Drosophila melanogaster: one gene and its partner. The gene in region 2 interacts genetically with the main gene of each other region. Each region holds a gene or a part of one and is shown on either strand. Other genes may lie near its edges.

What was found. Genes that interact genetically often act in the same process or in processes that back each other up.
Region 1: of Syx17 (region 2) and Rab11, changing one suppresses a phenotype caused by changing the other (phenotypic suppression), as found in Drosophila melanogaster (one study listed by BioGRID).

Annotation. Positions count from the first base shown.
Region 1 is NT_033777.3:21,108,241-21,117,574, forward strand, and holds Rab11 (Rab11), read left to right. Parts: upstream 1-3,167; 5' UTR 3,168-3,575; coding exon 3,576-3,615; intron 3,616-5,705; coding exon 5,706-5,827; intron 5,828-6,512; coding exon 6,513-6,861; intron 6,862-7,010; coding exon 7,011-7,144; 3' UTR 7,145-7,906; downstream 7,907-9,334. Other genes in the region: rtet (tetracycline resistance), read left to right, coding at 367-810, 1,007-1,348, 1,412-1,485, 1,779-1,954, 2,012-2,317, 2,376-2,467; ppan (peter pan), read left to right, coding at 8,064-8,393, 8,456-8,820, 8,877-9,304.
Region 2 is NT_037436.4:4,400,071-4,406,544, forward strand, and holds Syx17 (syntaxin 17), read left to right. Parts: upstream 1-3,416; 5' UTR 3,417-3,756; coding exon 3,757-3,825; intron 3,826-3,880; coding exon 3,881-4,127; intron 4,128-4,188; coding exon 4,189-4,778; coding exon of another isoform or gene 4,779-4,913; 3' UTR 4,914-5,098; downstream 5,099-6,474. Other genes in the region: slow (slowdown), read left to right, coding at 1,830-2,086, 2,155-2,573, 2,642-2,773; CG15019 (uncharacterized protein), read right to left, coding at 5,291-5,545, 5,715-5,900.

The DNA of each region.
Region 1 (9,334 bases), on a different chromosome or scaffold from region 2:
ATTTATAAATTAATTAAATATTTACAACTTAAACCTATGCTATTAGTAATGTTCACCAACATAATATTCGTTGGTAATTTTGATAAGAAAAGTAATTAATTACAGATGTTTGAATAACTCATTTTGGCGCCCTTATTTCAAATATCCGCAGCAAGCAACAGGTTGGAATGCCGTCTGCTCGTTATAGGCCGCCTTGGAACAGCTGTTGCTGTTCAGCTTTCACTTTGGCTTCGCTTTGGCTGGCCGCTTCTCGAGAGGGCCAAGAGTTGTCGGTGGAGTTGTGGTTCCGTTGATACAGTTATGTTGCAGTAACACCCGTACACGCACGCAATCACGGCACAAGCTAAACACCCGAAATCAGCAAAGATGGCCGACCTACGGAGTCGCCACAATGGAACCGCTGCCATGGAGAAGCAAAGCCACAGCCAAACCGGAAGCCACCATCACAACAACAATAAAGCGCTGGATAAGGAAGCATCGGAGAATGGAAAGCCGGAGAAGAGTGATCCCATGATATACATAATCTTCGTATCGCTGCTCTTCGACTTACTGGCCTTCACCATCATTCTGCCGCTGCTGCCCTCGCTGTTGGAGCACTATCGCCAGAACGACAGCTCCGGCTTGTATGCCGTGCTCACGGATCGGGTGCGCTGGTTCCAGCAGCTCCTGGGCGCCCCGGATCGCTACATATCGGTGCTATTCGGAGGCTTTCTCGGCTCCATGTTCAGCTTCCTGCAGTTCGTGGCCAGTCCGATTGTCGGAGGACTCTCGGACTACTACGGACGGAAACCAGTCCTGCTGGCTTGTGCGGTAGGTAATCCCAGTGCTCAATGCTTTAATGTGCACTAAACACTAAACTAGTCTTGTTAGTTTTCTTTTTGGCTTGGTCAACATTTCATGCTATTACGAGTTCAATCCAAAAGCGTGGAATTCGTCAAATTCAAACTCCTTAGCTAAGCCACAAATAAGTAAACCTTCCTTAAGCTACGTCTTCTTTCATCTATAGAGTGGTATTGCGTTATCCTATCTGATCTGGGCCTGCTCCAGCAACTTTGCCCTGTTCGTTTTGGCCCGCTTCGTGGGCGGAATTAGCAAGGGCAACATATCCCTGTGCATGTCCGTCATTACGGATGTGTCCAGCGTTAAGACCCGTGGACGCGGTATGGCCCTTGTGGGTGTGGCCTTCTCGCTGGGCTTTATTGTGGGGCCCATGATTGGAGCCCTGTTCGCCATATTCTCCGATAAAAGTGGAAGTACTTGGTTTGTGTTGCCCTCTCTGCTGGCGTTTGGCCTGGCAGTTGGAGATCTTGTGGTCCTGGCCTGCTGTCTGCGGGAAACGTTGCCCAAGGTGCGTACGGTTGGCTAAATTAAATATATTCCCAACACCATTAATTGTTTGACCTTTTCGCAGGAGAAACGTGTTAAGGAGATATCATCTGCACTGTCTTATGGCCTGCAGTTGCTCAATTTTTCGGCCATATTTAGGTAATTCAATGTTTTAATTAGCATGTCTCGAAAACCTGTCGTGTGATCAAATCGAAATCGTCATACGGTGAGAACTGCAAGCCACCCGGACTTGCCTGACTGGTTTGATAGACACTATTATCATGCCGGGTTCTCGGACACGTTTGTTTGATTGCCTTATCAGTTAGTAAATTCTAGATTGCTTTTGATTAATTGTAGTTACAGGGAATTGAGTCCAGTTAGCTAGAAGATTATTACCAATGATTATGTCTGGATTTTACAATCATATTTCAAAAGAATTCTCCCACTGACAGATTTGCTGCCATCAAAAATGTGCCTAAGAAAGACATTGCGGCACTGCGATCCATTGGCCTGGTATACTTCTTGTATCTCTTTCTGTATTCCGGCTTGGAGTTCACCGTCACATTTCTGATGTACCACAAATTCGGTTACACTTCGATGGATCAGGCGAAGATGTTTTTGACAACGGGTATGGAGCAAGTTGATAATCTACAATATTCCCTATCAAATTTGTGTCTTTTTCTAGGTGTAATCATGACTTTGCTGCAGGGATCGGTGGTCCGACGGCTGCCCGAGGCGAAGATCAAAGGCTATGCCATCTTCAGTTTGTACCTGATTGTACCCGCCTTCGTAGTAGTCGGCCTAGCCGAGGGCAGTCGGATGCTGTACGCCGGCATGACCCTGTTCGCAATCTCCACAGCCTTCGCTGTCACCTGTCTGACCACCCTCGTATCCAAATACGGAAACGATGACCAGAAGGGTTCAGTACTGGGCATATTCCGCTCACTGGGAGCTTTGGCTCGAGCTCTGGGCCCCGTGGTGGGATGCATTGGTGAGCTCCTCAGCTGTCTTAGGATTATACCTTTTCTAAACTCTTTAATCCTTAATAGCCTTCTGGTGCGTTGGCTCCAGGATCACCTATATAGCCGGCGGACTTCTGCTCATTTATCCAGCCATGGCCTTGCAACGCGCTCGCATTTAAGTGCAATAGGAATAGAGTTTTTAAACTCACTAGAGATCAACGGAAGTATTAGCTGCACATTATACTTAATTTATCGTTTTTTACAAGTATTTTATATTAAAATAAACACATTTTTACTCTGATTTGTAAGCAGGGGGTTTTTACTTGGGATCGAAATGTTTTCTATTTAATTAATTTTTTTAATAAGATAATATTAGAAACAGTTACTGCTACTGGGAGAACGATTCTGTTTAGGTTGGAACGTTTTAAGTATTCAAGACATTTTGAGTTGGAAATAAGTTAAATGGGCTAGGGATAATCCCTAGAAAATGTGTTCAGCTTTTTTAAAATACGATAGGCTTGTCGGGATGAAACGAGAGCAGTTCATGATAATTCGTCGTACCGTCTGGTAACTCTAAAACATCCATCTCGTTAATTTAGTGATGCAAGTCGATGTGAAAACATCGATAATGATATAAGTATGTTGGTGTTTTAAAATAAAACAAATAAGTTTTTTAAATAGGAAACAAACATTAGATTTATTTTCTAGACCTAATGTGTTTTAATTATGAAAAAATTTAATTCTAATTCTAAAGCTTTTGAGTATAAAACAATGTTCATATAAACAAAAATAGAAGTGACATTGTACTATCGCCTTACATCGCCATTAAGAAAATCGATAAGTATCGCCGAAATAATGTCGATGTACCGATATTTTTCAACATCTCTAGTCTCGTTGGAAATATAACGTGACGTTATTGGGAGTGACTAAGTTTTCGTGTAAGAGAAAATTGCAAATAAATGCGCTGCAAGCAGCTGCAAATCTCCAATTAATACTGCTCCAATTGCCGGAAAAGTCCTGCCAGCATTTTCGAACGCATCCGAGCTGGAAGAGCAACCGATTTCGCCACTTAAATACTGATATATACACTTTTCTCTTTCTTTACAACTACAACTGCAAATAAAAGTGTAAAGTGTGTGAGCCGACGACAAACGCATTAAAGAAATCGGCGGCGCGCAGGGATTATTGGATTTCGTTTAGCACCCGCACACACAAAACAAAAAGGACGGAACTGGATTTCCAAAGGATATCGAACCGAGCGAGCGATAGCAAAACAAATTGAGCAAAATGGGTGCAAGAGAAGACGAGTACGATTATCTGTTCAAAGGTAATTATAAACATGATACTAGCCGCTGGTCGAAGATCGCGGAAGGTTGATCAGGAGGGGAGGAGCCGCACTTCCAGGCTCTCCTCTCCCTGCCGTGAGAGACAGTGGTTCAATAGCACTAATTGAAACTAATTGGAGAATAACAAAAAGTGCACTCGAAGAGCCCAAAGTTCATGTGATGGTATGTGGTGTGTTTGTTTGCGTGAGTGTCATTAATTCCCAAAATAAGAAGTACGCCCCCCGAGTTTGTTGTTGTTGCTACTGCTGCAGTTGGATGCCCTTTGGTGGCTCTCCCGCTCTCACTCTGCCTATCTCCATCTCTTTGGGGTACTCTTTCGGACTGGAGTACGCGTACTTTGCCGTTAACTGCTTGTTTTGTCATTACAGTGCCGTTGGTCTCGCCACGTTGCATACAAAAGCCAAGCAGATCGTATTTATAATCGCTCGCTCTGTAAAGTAGGTTTAAGGCTTGCCCACCCACTCGAAATGCTAAAGTGATTAGATATCCAGTAAATAGAGCGAGAGTGTGGGTATTATGATTTCTGTACAGCTGGCTTTTGCAATGGTTTCTTGTAACTTCGTTTAGTAGCTCTCTCTCACGCGCGCTCTCTTTTTCACCCGCTCTCGATTGAAAGTTTGAAGCACAGTAGAGCAAAATGATGTATTTGCAGGTAGAAAACAAGACTTTTATCCCGCATCTTCCCCCGTTTATGTGTAGATATGTATGAACAGAGGTCACAAATTCTCAGCTCTTCTTTGTTCCCTTCGTTTGCTACTACGCCATAAATTCCAATTGCGCTTGGAAATCTCTGCTAGCTATCACAGCTGAGCAACTGTTGAATGTCATTAAAAAAATATTTAAAACTTAATCTGCCGTATTTTTTGGGTCAAGTATACAAAAAGTTAAAAAAAAAGTCATCATAATAATGCGTCAGTGTGCGGTATGCATGATGAGGCCTCAAATTTCACACATGAAACAATATTAAACGGACATGACTCACAGCCAATAACTGCTGAAGAATTCCACTCACCGATAAGCGCATAATCACATAACTGAAAATGGGCCGTTTCGGGTTATTCGAGCCAATCCCACTACTAAGTAATGACCGTCGATTACCACTCCTCCCCTTTTAATTTCTCATCGCATCCGCTTAACTAAGTGCAATTTCTCTTTAAAGATCGTTATTAGCGCTGAGAAAGAGAGTAGAAAACAAAGTGACTCAGCTCTCTCGCTGATAACTGTAACCACGCTGCTCCCAGCTGTCCACACTGAAAGAAAACCCTATACCCTCTAATTTAGCTATCTAAATTAAGTCAAAAACTTGGACTTAGCTCAAAAGTCGTTTCAAATATTTAGTTCCTATCTTAATGGCATTGCAATCGAAACTTCGAACTCAAGAATCAGTGTTCATATGATACCATTTTACTATTTGAATTTTCTCCGTGCAGCGATGACCATAGCGATAGAGCGAAAAGGTGTTTGATGAGTTATAGTTGTTGTTTTCTGAATGGATTAGCAAACATGCTGAATCAACAATGTCCGAAAAGGGTGTCAAAAATGGAAACTAATAGACAGACAGTCAGTAAACACAGTGTCTAGATATCAGTTAATATATATTATAGCCAACAACTCTGGCCGCACATAAGAAAGTTTATCAAAAAGAAATGGAGTCGTAAAAAGGTCAGTGGATAGTTTTTATCGGGTAGCATATCAACTTGGGATGCTTGTTTGCTCCCTCAAATATCCGCCACTCAATTATCCAAGAAATGTTTGCTATCGGCAATGAAGCACAATAACACGAACTCCCTAACGTCGACTGGCCCAATCATAAAACATTTCTTTCCATGGCCTGAAATCCCCCGAGCATGGCGGTTTTATGTACTCGCTGACCTTGGTGCGCCGTGCCAGCGGCGAAAGGAGGACATGACCTAGCCGGGCCACCAGCGACCATTCTGTCCGGCCGTAAAACACAAGACAGGGGCCATGCCACGCCACGCCACACCACACACCCACATAAATTATGCAACTGGGGGTCTTCGATTATCCAATGCCAATGTCGATGTCACTAATTCCCTCTAATCCTTTGCAGTTGTCCTTATCGGTGACTCCGGTGTTGGCAAAAGTAATTTGCTCTCACGTTTCACGCGCAATGAATTCAACTTGGAGTCCAAGTCGACGATTGGCGTTGAGTTTGCAACGCGCAGCATAGAGGTGAGTACGCTGGCCAAGAATTCGAGGGTGGAGTGGCCCATGGAGCTCCACCCCCACACATCTACCGCACCGCACCCACAGTGGGGGAAGTCACGGGTGAACTTGCGTGTGCGTTTCGGTGGGAGGACACGTAGTTGAGGCGTCTATCGGAAAATTGGGGGGAAAAGTTTGTTCAATTTGAGTAAGTGTCGAGAATTTCACTAAATAATGGATTGCCAATTGGCTTTCTTGCATAATTTCAAAAGCCATCCTACGGGATTAGCCAAAATGTTGACATCATAGTTGTCACTTGTGCTGAAATAATAAATTTATGTGGTCAATAACAATTATATATTACGTATGTATAAGGATTTGTGTTAAACAATACTTTGTGCCATCTTTTCGAAGTAGCTTAGTAGGTCATCTTAATATTTAGTATATCAAATGGGTTCAATGAATATAACTTACGCTACTTGCGTTTTTTCTAACTAGTGTAAGAAATTTCAAAAATTGGGTTCTCTTACTAGAGTTAAAAGCTTATCCATAAGCTCTAATTTATGTTGGTTATGTGTGAATACTGAATGCCAGTGCTTGTATATTAATTTTCAAAGCGAATGCGCCGCAGGCATTTCGTGGCGAAATTGCCAATTACTGGCACCATTCTAATGCTGTCCTTTGTTTCATCCTTCTTGTGCATCCAACGCAGGTCGATGGCAAAACAATTAAAGCGCAAATCTGGGATACGGCCGGCCAGGAGCGTTATCGCGCCATCACCTCTGCCTACTACCGCGGTGCCGTGGGGGCCCTGCTCGTCTATGACATTGCCAAGCATCTGACCTACGAGAACGTGGAGCGGTGGCTGCGGGAATTGCGCGACCATGCCGACCAGAACATCGTCATCATGCTGGTGGGCAACAAGTCCGACTTGCGGCACTTGCGCTCCGTGCCCACGGACGAGGCGAAGCTGTTTGCCGAGCGCAACGGCTTGAGTTTCATAGAAACCTCGGCCCTCGACTCAACGAACGTTGAAACGGCATTCCAGAACATACTCACAGGTGGGTCGTTCAGGATATTTTAGCTAGTCTGCTTTCAAATTATCGATCGTTTAAGAATATTTAAATACTGTAGATTAAACGCTTCATTGAAAGTCAATAGATTAATGATAACGAAGCACGACTAATGATGTCTCGTAATCCCGTTTCAGAGATCTATCGCATTGTGTCGCAGAAACAGATCAGAGATCCGCCGGAAGGCGACGTCATCCGCCCGTCGAACGTGGAGCCCATCGACGTAAAGCCGACTGTCACCGCCGATGTGCGCAAACAGTGCTGTCAGTGACCGCCCCAAGCAATTTTCGCTATTCCCCGCAACCGCCAGAACAGCAACATAAACAGAAGCAACAGCAATTACAACTACGACTACAAGAGGAGCAGCAGCGGCCAGAACTGCAACACCAAGATCAGGAGCAGCGTACACCCGATGGACCGCACAAGATGTCTATGCGTTTGTCAGCCACAGTTTGTCATGTGCGCATAAATTGATAATTCAAATCTGAGCCGCCACTCTCCACCACCAACACCACCACCATCATCAGAAGCAGCAGCAGCAGCAAAAGAATCGAAAGCAACAACATCCGGCTGTAGTTAACTGCGGTTTAAACTGAAGTTTTATATATATACAGATCCATGAGTATCGCATAAATCGACCGCCGCGGAAAGAAAGCAAGCAAAACTAAACACTCCAAATTCAGTTTAAGCTGTAGAACTATAATTTATATAAATATACATATATGCTAATATTAAAATATTAATATTATTAATTTTTCGCAACATAAATATATAGTTGTAATTTCGCGAGCAGAACAACAACAAACAACCGGAAATTCTTCGACTTAAACGCAAATTCATTACCACAGCACTGCAGCTCGGATTTTCTTCTTCGGTTTCTCGCAACATTTTAAACGATTGGCCACTTGGTAAAACTAGCTGATAAAGAGAAATCAAACAAAAACAGTTGTAAAACTTTAAATGCATAAATGAAACGAAATAACATCATTTGTGTTTGCTATGTTAAGTGTGATTAAATAAATATAATTTAAATAAAACAGAAGTGCTTTCAATTGGGCGGAAAATCGAAATTTAAAATGGGATTAGAGTGACCAAAGGCAGACGTCGGAGTGGGTGTTTGGTATTTTCCGCGCGAGCAGCCACACTGATCCATACACGTGCGGGAGAAAAGTGAACAAAAACATTGAAACATGGGCGGTAAGAAGAAAGTGCATCCGAAGACGCGCACGGCGGCCTTCAAGGCCAGCGAGCCGAGCGAGATCGTGGAGGCGCCGCACTCCTTCGTCATCCATCGCGGCCTCGCCTGTCCGTACATCACGGACCTCACCCTGGACTTCCGCCGCATTATGGAGCCCTTTACGGCCAGCAATCTGCGCGAGAAGCGGATGAACCGCATCAAGGACTTTGTCAGCCTGAGCAGCTTCTTCCACGTCTCGCACATGGGCATCTTCAACAAGGCCTCCACGCAGCTGTCCTTCAAAGTGGTCCGCTTGCCGCGCGGTCCTTCCCTGACTTTCAAGGTTTGTTTGTTTCATCGCTTAGTTTATACTGGATATTTTACCGCGAAGTTATTCTCTGTCAGGTTCACCAGTTCACCCTGGCCAGAGATGTGATCTCGCTAAGCAAAAAGCAGATGATTGACAACGATCACTTCAAGCACGCTCCGCTCGTCATCATGAACAACTTCAGTGGCGATGGCAAGCACCTTAAGCTGATGGCCACCACGTTCCAAAACATGTTCCCCTCAATTAACTTGGCCACGGTTAATATCGGCACCATTCGTCGCTGCGTCCTGTTCTCCTACAATCCGGACACGAAGCTGGTCGAGATGCGGCACTACTCCGTGCAGGTGGTGCCGGTTGGCTTAAAGCGGGCGGTCCAGAAAATCGTCAAAGGAACGGTACCCAATCTGGGCAAGTGCAACGAAGTCGTGGACTTTGTGACCAAGTAGGAAATGACCGTTTGTTCTCATTCCATCAAATAATCATAATATTGATTTTCAGGGACGGCTATGCCTCCGAATCAGAGGCCGAAGATGATGAGCAATCACATGTGGTGCTGGCACAGACTCTTAAAAGCAAGGGCAACTTGGAGGACAAAAAGAGCTCCATAAAGCTACACGAGATCGGACCTCGACTAACCATGCAGCTCATCAAAATAGAAGAGGGCCTTCTGACGGGCGAAGTACTGTATCACGACCATGTGGTCAAGACAGAGGACGAAAAGGAAACCCTGCGCAAGCTGGTCGAAAAGAAGCGAAAGCAGAAGGAGCAGCGCAAGAAGGAGCAGGCAGAGAACCGTGCCCGCAACTTGAAGCTTAAGAAGGATGAAAAATGGGCTGCCAAGAGGGCGGCAGAGGGACGGACTGACAGCGATCCCGAGGATGATGCAGAGTACTACAAGGAGGAAGTCGGCGAGGAACCAGACGAAGGTGAGTTGTGCTACATGCTGCGTAGAATAT
Region 2 (6,474 bases):
AGGATAATTGAATAAGTCGATTTAAACAGAGGTAGAAGCACATTTCTATGGATTGTATTATTTTAATAAGAACCATTCATATTTTATCAGTTAGTTGAAACTATTAAAACAAAACATATTAATTGATTTTTTTTTGGTGCACTGAATCCGATTGGAGATTTATGCAGCCAGTGGATTGGAGATGGAAATGGGAATGAGCATTCCATGTTGCACTTTGCTGCTGGCACAGTTTCTGCTTTTCGGGAGAAGACTTCCGCATTTTATTTAGCCGTTCTTGTTATTGTTTTCGCTGGAAATGGAGGCCAGTATCTTTGGTTTTGGCTTTGTTTGGCGCCCTTAACGCTCAGAATGCTGGCGCATAAATAACGTGAGAATTATGGTACAAGAGAAGCCAGTTACAGCAAGCAACATACAGGGAAAAAACCCAAGAAAGAACAGGGCATAAATATGCATGCGCGGCAATAAAGAAATTGGTAAATGTCCCGGTCGCAGGACCATTGTGGCCAACTGTGTGCCACTTTCCGCTTTTAAATCGCGAAATTTTGGCCAGCCAAATGGCCAGCAAAAAGACCAACCAACGATCGCAGCAGTCAGTCGTCACTCAGTGGCCACGTCACGCGTTCGCAATTGTTTTTGGCCCGCATTGCCAATTACGACACCATCAGCCACCACCAGCATCAGTTGCTGCAGCAGCAACATCAGCAGCAGCAACTGCAGCAGCAGTAACTGCAGCAGCAGTAAGTGCTGCATCAAACAGCAGCGTTTATTCGCAGCCCCACAGCCTGCCAATTTATGGGATGCACCTCGCTTTTGGGCCAGTTTGCCTCGTTTTTTGGCAACCAAAATCAAAAACCGCTTATTATCAGCGCTTTTTATGTTTGACTGCTTGGGGGCCAAAGGTCTTAGGAGCATTGGCACTTCGGTTATTGGATTTTGGCTGGGTTTGAGAGGCACAGGGTCATATATAAAGATTTATTATAAAGTGTGAAGTTGGGATTGTACTTGAGTAGTAAAAACTTCAAATGCTCTTATGGGCTTAAATTTGTAATAAAACAACGGCTACAGCGTTAGTTCCGAAAAATTCCTGGTAAGGATCTAAATGCTGAAAATATTATGTTCAATAGAAATATTGGCTAATATATAAACATTTTAAAAAAATTACTTTTAGTCTGATTTTTATCCTTTAAAACATTAAATTGGTTACCTTTTTTTGAGTTAGAAGTACATACATTTTTCGCTGGAAAAAATTGCTAAATTTGAATTTGTTGCACAAGGCAACCGAATTGGATAACAACTAATATGGAATATCCTTGTGATATTTCTGTCAACAGTTTGACAAGCCTTCAAATTTGGTTTGACAGCCACTGAACTGTCGGTTGCGTGAACTGGAGCACTTGGTTGCCAGGCTGATAGGCTGCCAGGCTGCCAAACTGCCATCTGGCTGCTCCTCCATATCCGAGTCCGAGTGGCGGGCAAACAAATGACATGGCTGACATGGCTGCAAGTCATCGGCTGGGAGCGTGTCGTGTTTGTCATCGCAGATACGCGAACACGCTAATATCGTAGTCCAGTCCAATCGAATCCAATCCAATCCAATCCGCTGGCACTTCCAGACACATGTGACAATTGCCCAGATCCCACTCCTAAAAACAACCTGTTGGCCGCTCTGTGTCGTTATGACTGTAATTGGGCGAAGTCGTCTGGAAAAGTCAGTTTCACTTTTGCAGATGATGAGCCGCTGATTTGGGTCAGCCACACCGCTCGAATCCATTCCAATCCTATTCGATTCACACCTCGCTCTGGTTTGTTTTCCTTGCTACTCATTGCAGGCGGCACATTTGCATGCAACAGCGAACGGTTACGATGCCCGTGAAGCGAACGGAGGTCTACAGTCGTCCCACCTGGAAGCACGTGGCCACGCCCTGCCAGCCGCCCACCTTTAGTGGCCAGAAGTGCACCAGGGTGCAGGTGGTCCACGAGCAGGCCTACAGGGACGTCATCGATCACAAGACCGCCCAGCAGATGACCTACGACTGCTGCACGGGATGGAGCCGGGAAAACCCAAGGTCGGATTCGTGCATGAAACGTGAGTCTTAAACAAAATACATAGATTGCAATGAATTTGGAATATTTTTATCTTCTAATTATTTACAGCTATTTGCTCCGCGCGCTGCCAAAACGGTGGCAATTGTACGGCTCCTAGCACCTGCAGCTGTCCAACTGGTTTCACAGGACGTTTCTGCGAGCAGGATGTGGACGAGTGCCAGACGGAGAAGCCATGCGATCAACAGTGCATCAATACGCATGGATCTTACTTCTGCCGCTGCCGTCAGGGATTCGTTCTCCAGTCGGATCAGCAGAGCTGCAAGAAGGTGTCCACGAATGCGGACGATGCGTTCGAGGCTCGGGATCTGGAGAACGATATCGATGATACGGACGCGGAGGTGGCCACGCGACTCCAGAAGATCGAAAAGTCCTTGGCCAATGAGCGAGTGCACACGAACGAGCTGCAAAAGTCGCTGCAGGCCACCTACAGTGTGGTGGACACACTCAAGAGTCGGCTAAGCACGCTGGTAAGGATTAGAGTTGAACTTCTATATTTGAATATTCATACTTTAACGATTACTTCGTATGCCCTCAGGAAAAGCAGGCTCAGGATGTCAGTCGACTGCAGACGAATCTCTACAAGACAGAGTCCCGGACGAACAAGCTGGAGGGTATGCTGAACCTGCTGCTGAAGTGCCGGAATGGCCCCAATGCCAATTGCCCCTAAACAGAACTGCATTTCCCCACGCTATTATTAAATGTTAGTTAACTTAATTGACCACTCCGTTCATGTGTAGCTAGATGCTCCTGCTTGTAAGCCATTCCCGAATGCGAGTCGAGTGCCTCTGTAGTCTGTAGAATTAGCCCACGGATCGGGCTATTAGTACTTAAGCGAGAACGTGTGTCATAAATGTATCGAGATGTGAAGTTTTAGACGTAAGCGCACCACCGCACTCTGCACCGCTCTTCATGTGGGTGGTGCAGTGATTAGTTTCTGCATGTATCTGTATATAATTTTAATGTATATGAGAAATCACTGCACGAATAAATGCATTTTCTGATTTTAATGGGTCTTTCATGGGATATTTAACAAAGGAAATCTATTTATCTGGAAGTTATCATGAAAAAAAAGGTAAAGTGCTGCAATATTTACTTTTATATATTGGCTACAACTTAACGCGCAACATAAAATTTGGTTATTTTTCCTTTTAAATGCAATAATGGTGAGTCAACAACTATTTTTATGACCTCGGCTGTAAGCTGACCTTTTAGCGGGGATTCCCACCAGCGGAGACAATCGATAACTGTAAGAATAATATCGAGTGTGGGCAAGGCTGCGCAATATTCGCTAGTATCGAACTGATTGCCATCTCTATCACCAATAACAAACAAATAATTGGACTGCACAATAGAATTATTATCAGTATAAATATAGGGGACAAGACCAGCATGATTGGAACCATGCCACCGTAGTTTCATTCACAACAACAAAGCACTACTCACTGGAAACATCCCGAAAAGCAAGCAGTGACGTCACTGGCAAAACAAAGCAAAAACTGCGCAGAAAAACCAGGGAAATCTGTTAAGCAAGGTCCATCGTTAAAAAGGGGCGGGGGGTGTTACAGAAACTGATCCCCCAGATTTCACTTTTACCACAATTAAAACTGATTAAAAATCAAAGCGCTGCGAGTTCAAAGTATTCAGTTCACGATGACGCGCGATGAGAAACTGCCACTTAAACAGGCGGAGGTCTCCATCCAAAGGTTTCAGGATGTGGCGGTAGGTTATTTACTATATCTTCTGAAGAGCGGAACTAATTCCTTAACACTCATAGGTGCCCCACCATCTGAGCCTACTGAAAAACCATCGCAGCAATATAGAAAAAAGCCTGGCGCTCGGCGACTGGCAAAAAATCAAAAAGGAGGAACTCAATGCTATGAGGGTCATTAAGCAGATCAAGAATCTACTTCTGGAAATGGATGCACTGCGAGAAAAAGTACGGGAGGAGGATCTGGAACGTTTCGACGACCTAATGAAACCTGGCAGGGATACTGCCTTCGCTGGCATGAAGGAATTTGCGGGTAAGTTTGAAATGCCATCTAAATTCTTTCGGCTTTACCAACACACCTACTGTATTTTTAGAGCTCCAACTCAAATCACCCACCTCCACTTTGAGTTCTCAGTACGACGACGATCTGGACAATCAGCCACAGGAGGTGGATATGAACAGTCTACCCGCACACCGCCACATGCCCCAGCTGCAACTCAATTTCCAGCTGGAGGAACACCAATTGGCGCAGAGGCAAGCCTGCCTGGATCAGATGGAGAACCTGCAACAGGAGATCTACGATCTGCACGGGATGTTCCAGGGAATGCGTCAACTGACTGCAGAGCAATCAGTGGCGGTGGAAAAGATAGCAGACAATGCGGAGGAAGCTCTGGAGAATGTCCAGCAGGGCGAATTGAATCTGCGCCGGGCGCTCACCTACAAGAAGGCCATGTACCCCGTAGTCGGAGCTCTTCTGGGCACCTGTGTGGGAGGACCCATTGGTCTGGTGGCGGGCATGAAAGCTGGAGGATTGGCGGCAGTAGGATGTGGCATCCTCGGCTTCACCGGTGGCTCTGTGCTAAAGGCCAATCCCAATGTAATGCATGGCAACATCGAGGAGGAGCAGGTGGAACCGGATAGCGAGTCAACTGAGAGACTGGAGCTAAAAGAGAAGCCAGAATGACCCGCAGGAGGAAGTGCCCGATCCGCATCCACGGCTCTGGCCACCACGCACATATGGTCGGCGAACACACGACGTTTGGAGGCAGCCACCAACGGAGTGATTTGCAGCGTGCGCAGCTATTGTTCCGTTCAGTAGAAATTTGACCACGATTTTAGTTCAATATCCCCATTTTGTGATTTTCCACGTGCAATAGAGCTAATGAGCATAATGTAACTGCACTTTAGTTTAAGCGTTGGATACTTGTTGTTCACATGACACCGCAAATGTGTGTAGATTTTAAGGCTTTAATATGCAATAATAACTCGTAGCTTTAAAAAAGTAATGATACTATTTGATTGCCATGTTGAGAAGTTCAGACTATATCTGGGTTTTTCAGAACTTGTTTGGGCTTTAATATGCAATATATACTCTTAGCTATAACATCTTTGTAGAAAAAGCCTACAAAATCTCCTAAACTAAGCGAGGACTTATAAACTACGATAAGATACCAGATGGGTAACCCAGCCCCGGATTTATAGGGGAACATTAACCGTGGTCCAGGCCTGTTTGAAGTTCTTCTTCTGCGAGTGCTGCTTCTTTCTTAGACGCTTGGCGGTCTTCTTCTTCTTGAACCACGCAGGATAATTGCCGTACTGATCTTTGAGGGTCTTGCTGTTGAAAATGTGCTCCACGCCCGTGTTCTCGTTGGTCACCTTGACTTTCTCGCCCTTCTCCAGACTCTCCTGGTGCTCGTAGATCAATTCCTGCTCCTCCTTGGATTTGGCCTCCTGTTTTAGGAATACAATTTCTTCTTTAATAAGGATATAAAATACGTAACAAGAATGAAGGTAGTATCGCGATAAACTAAGCCGGTTTTTCGCATATTACATGCATACAATACATATAATACATTAGGTAAATTGGTATATTTGTAGGTGGGTATATCACATAACTAACCCTTTTGAGCTCCTTGGCGGTCTTAATTTCGACCACATCGCTTATATCCTTCATGATCTCATTTCCATCGGCATCTAGGAGTCCCAGAGTTTTCTTCAGTCGAATTAACTCCTTGGCTTCGTACCGCGCCTTCTTTATCTTATTCATTTCATCACGACGCTTTCTCGAGCGATTGTTTCTGCCCATTTCGGTAGTCGGATATTAAGTAATACCAGAAAAAGTCAAAGAAGTAAAGAAATTGCGTTCAATTTGCTAAAAACGTAAACACGTGTGTTTTTGCTAGAGCTGGAAAACTGCCCGATTTTTCTTCGATTTTTTTCAGCGGGCTCTTATCGATAGCGCAAATAAATTAATCGACCAGGGCTTATTTTTAGTTATTTAGCCGCCAAGATTAAAAATTGTTTTTTTTTTACTCTCGTTTTTTAAATAGTTTTATATACTTTCTATGTAAAAGACACTTATCTGTATAGAAATATGTGTCATATTATTTAATTACACCTTATGTCCTTATTTTCCCTAATATGCTGTAGCGCTGTTGTATCAATTATCAGGTACATAAATTTTTAAAAACCACAAAATATATTAAAACATATTAAATTCTAGTTTTTATGACTTTGCCTTTAATGCATATAAGTTATAACTTTTTTAAAAACCACAAATTAAGCTTTTGTGGCTTTTTTCCACTTCCATTTTCGTTTCCATTCATCTCTTTCTTCCCCTTTTCCACTCTGTATTTATTTACCTTTTGTTCTCTCTCCTT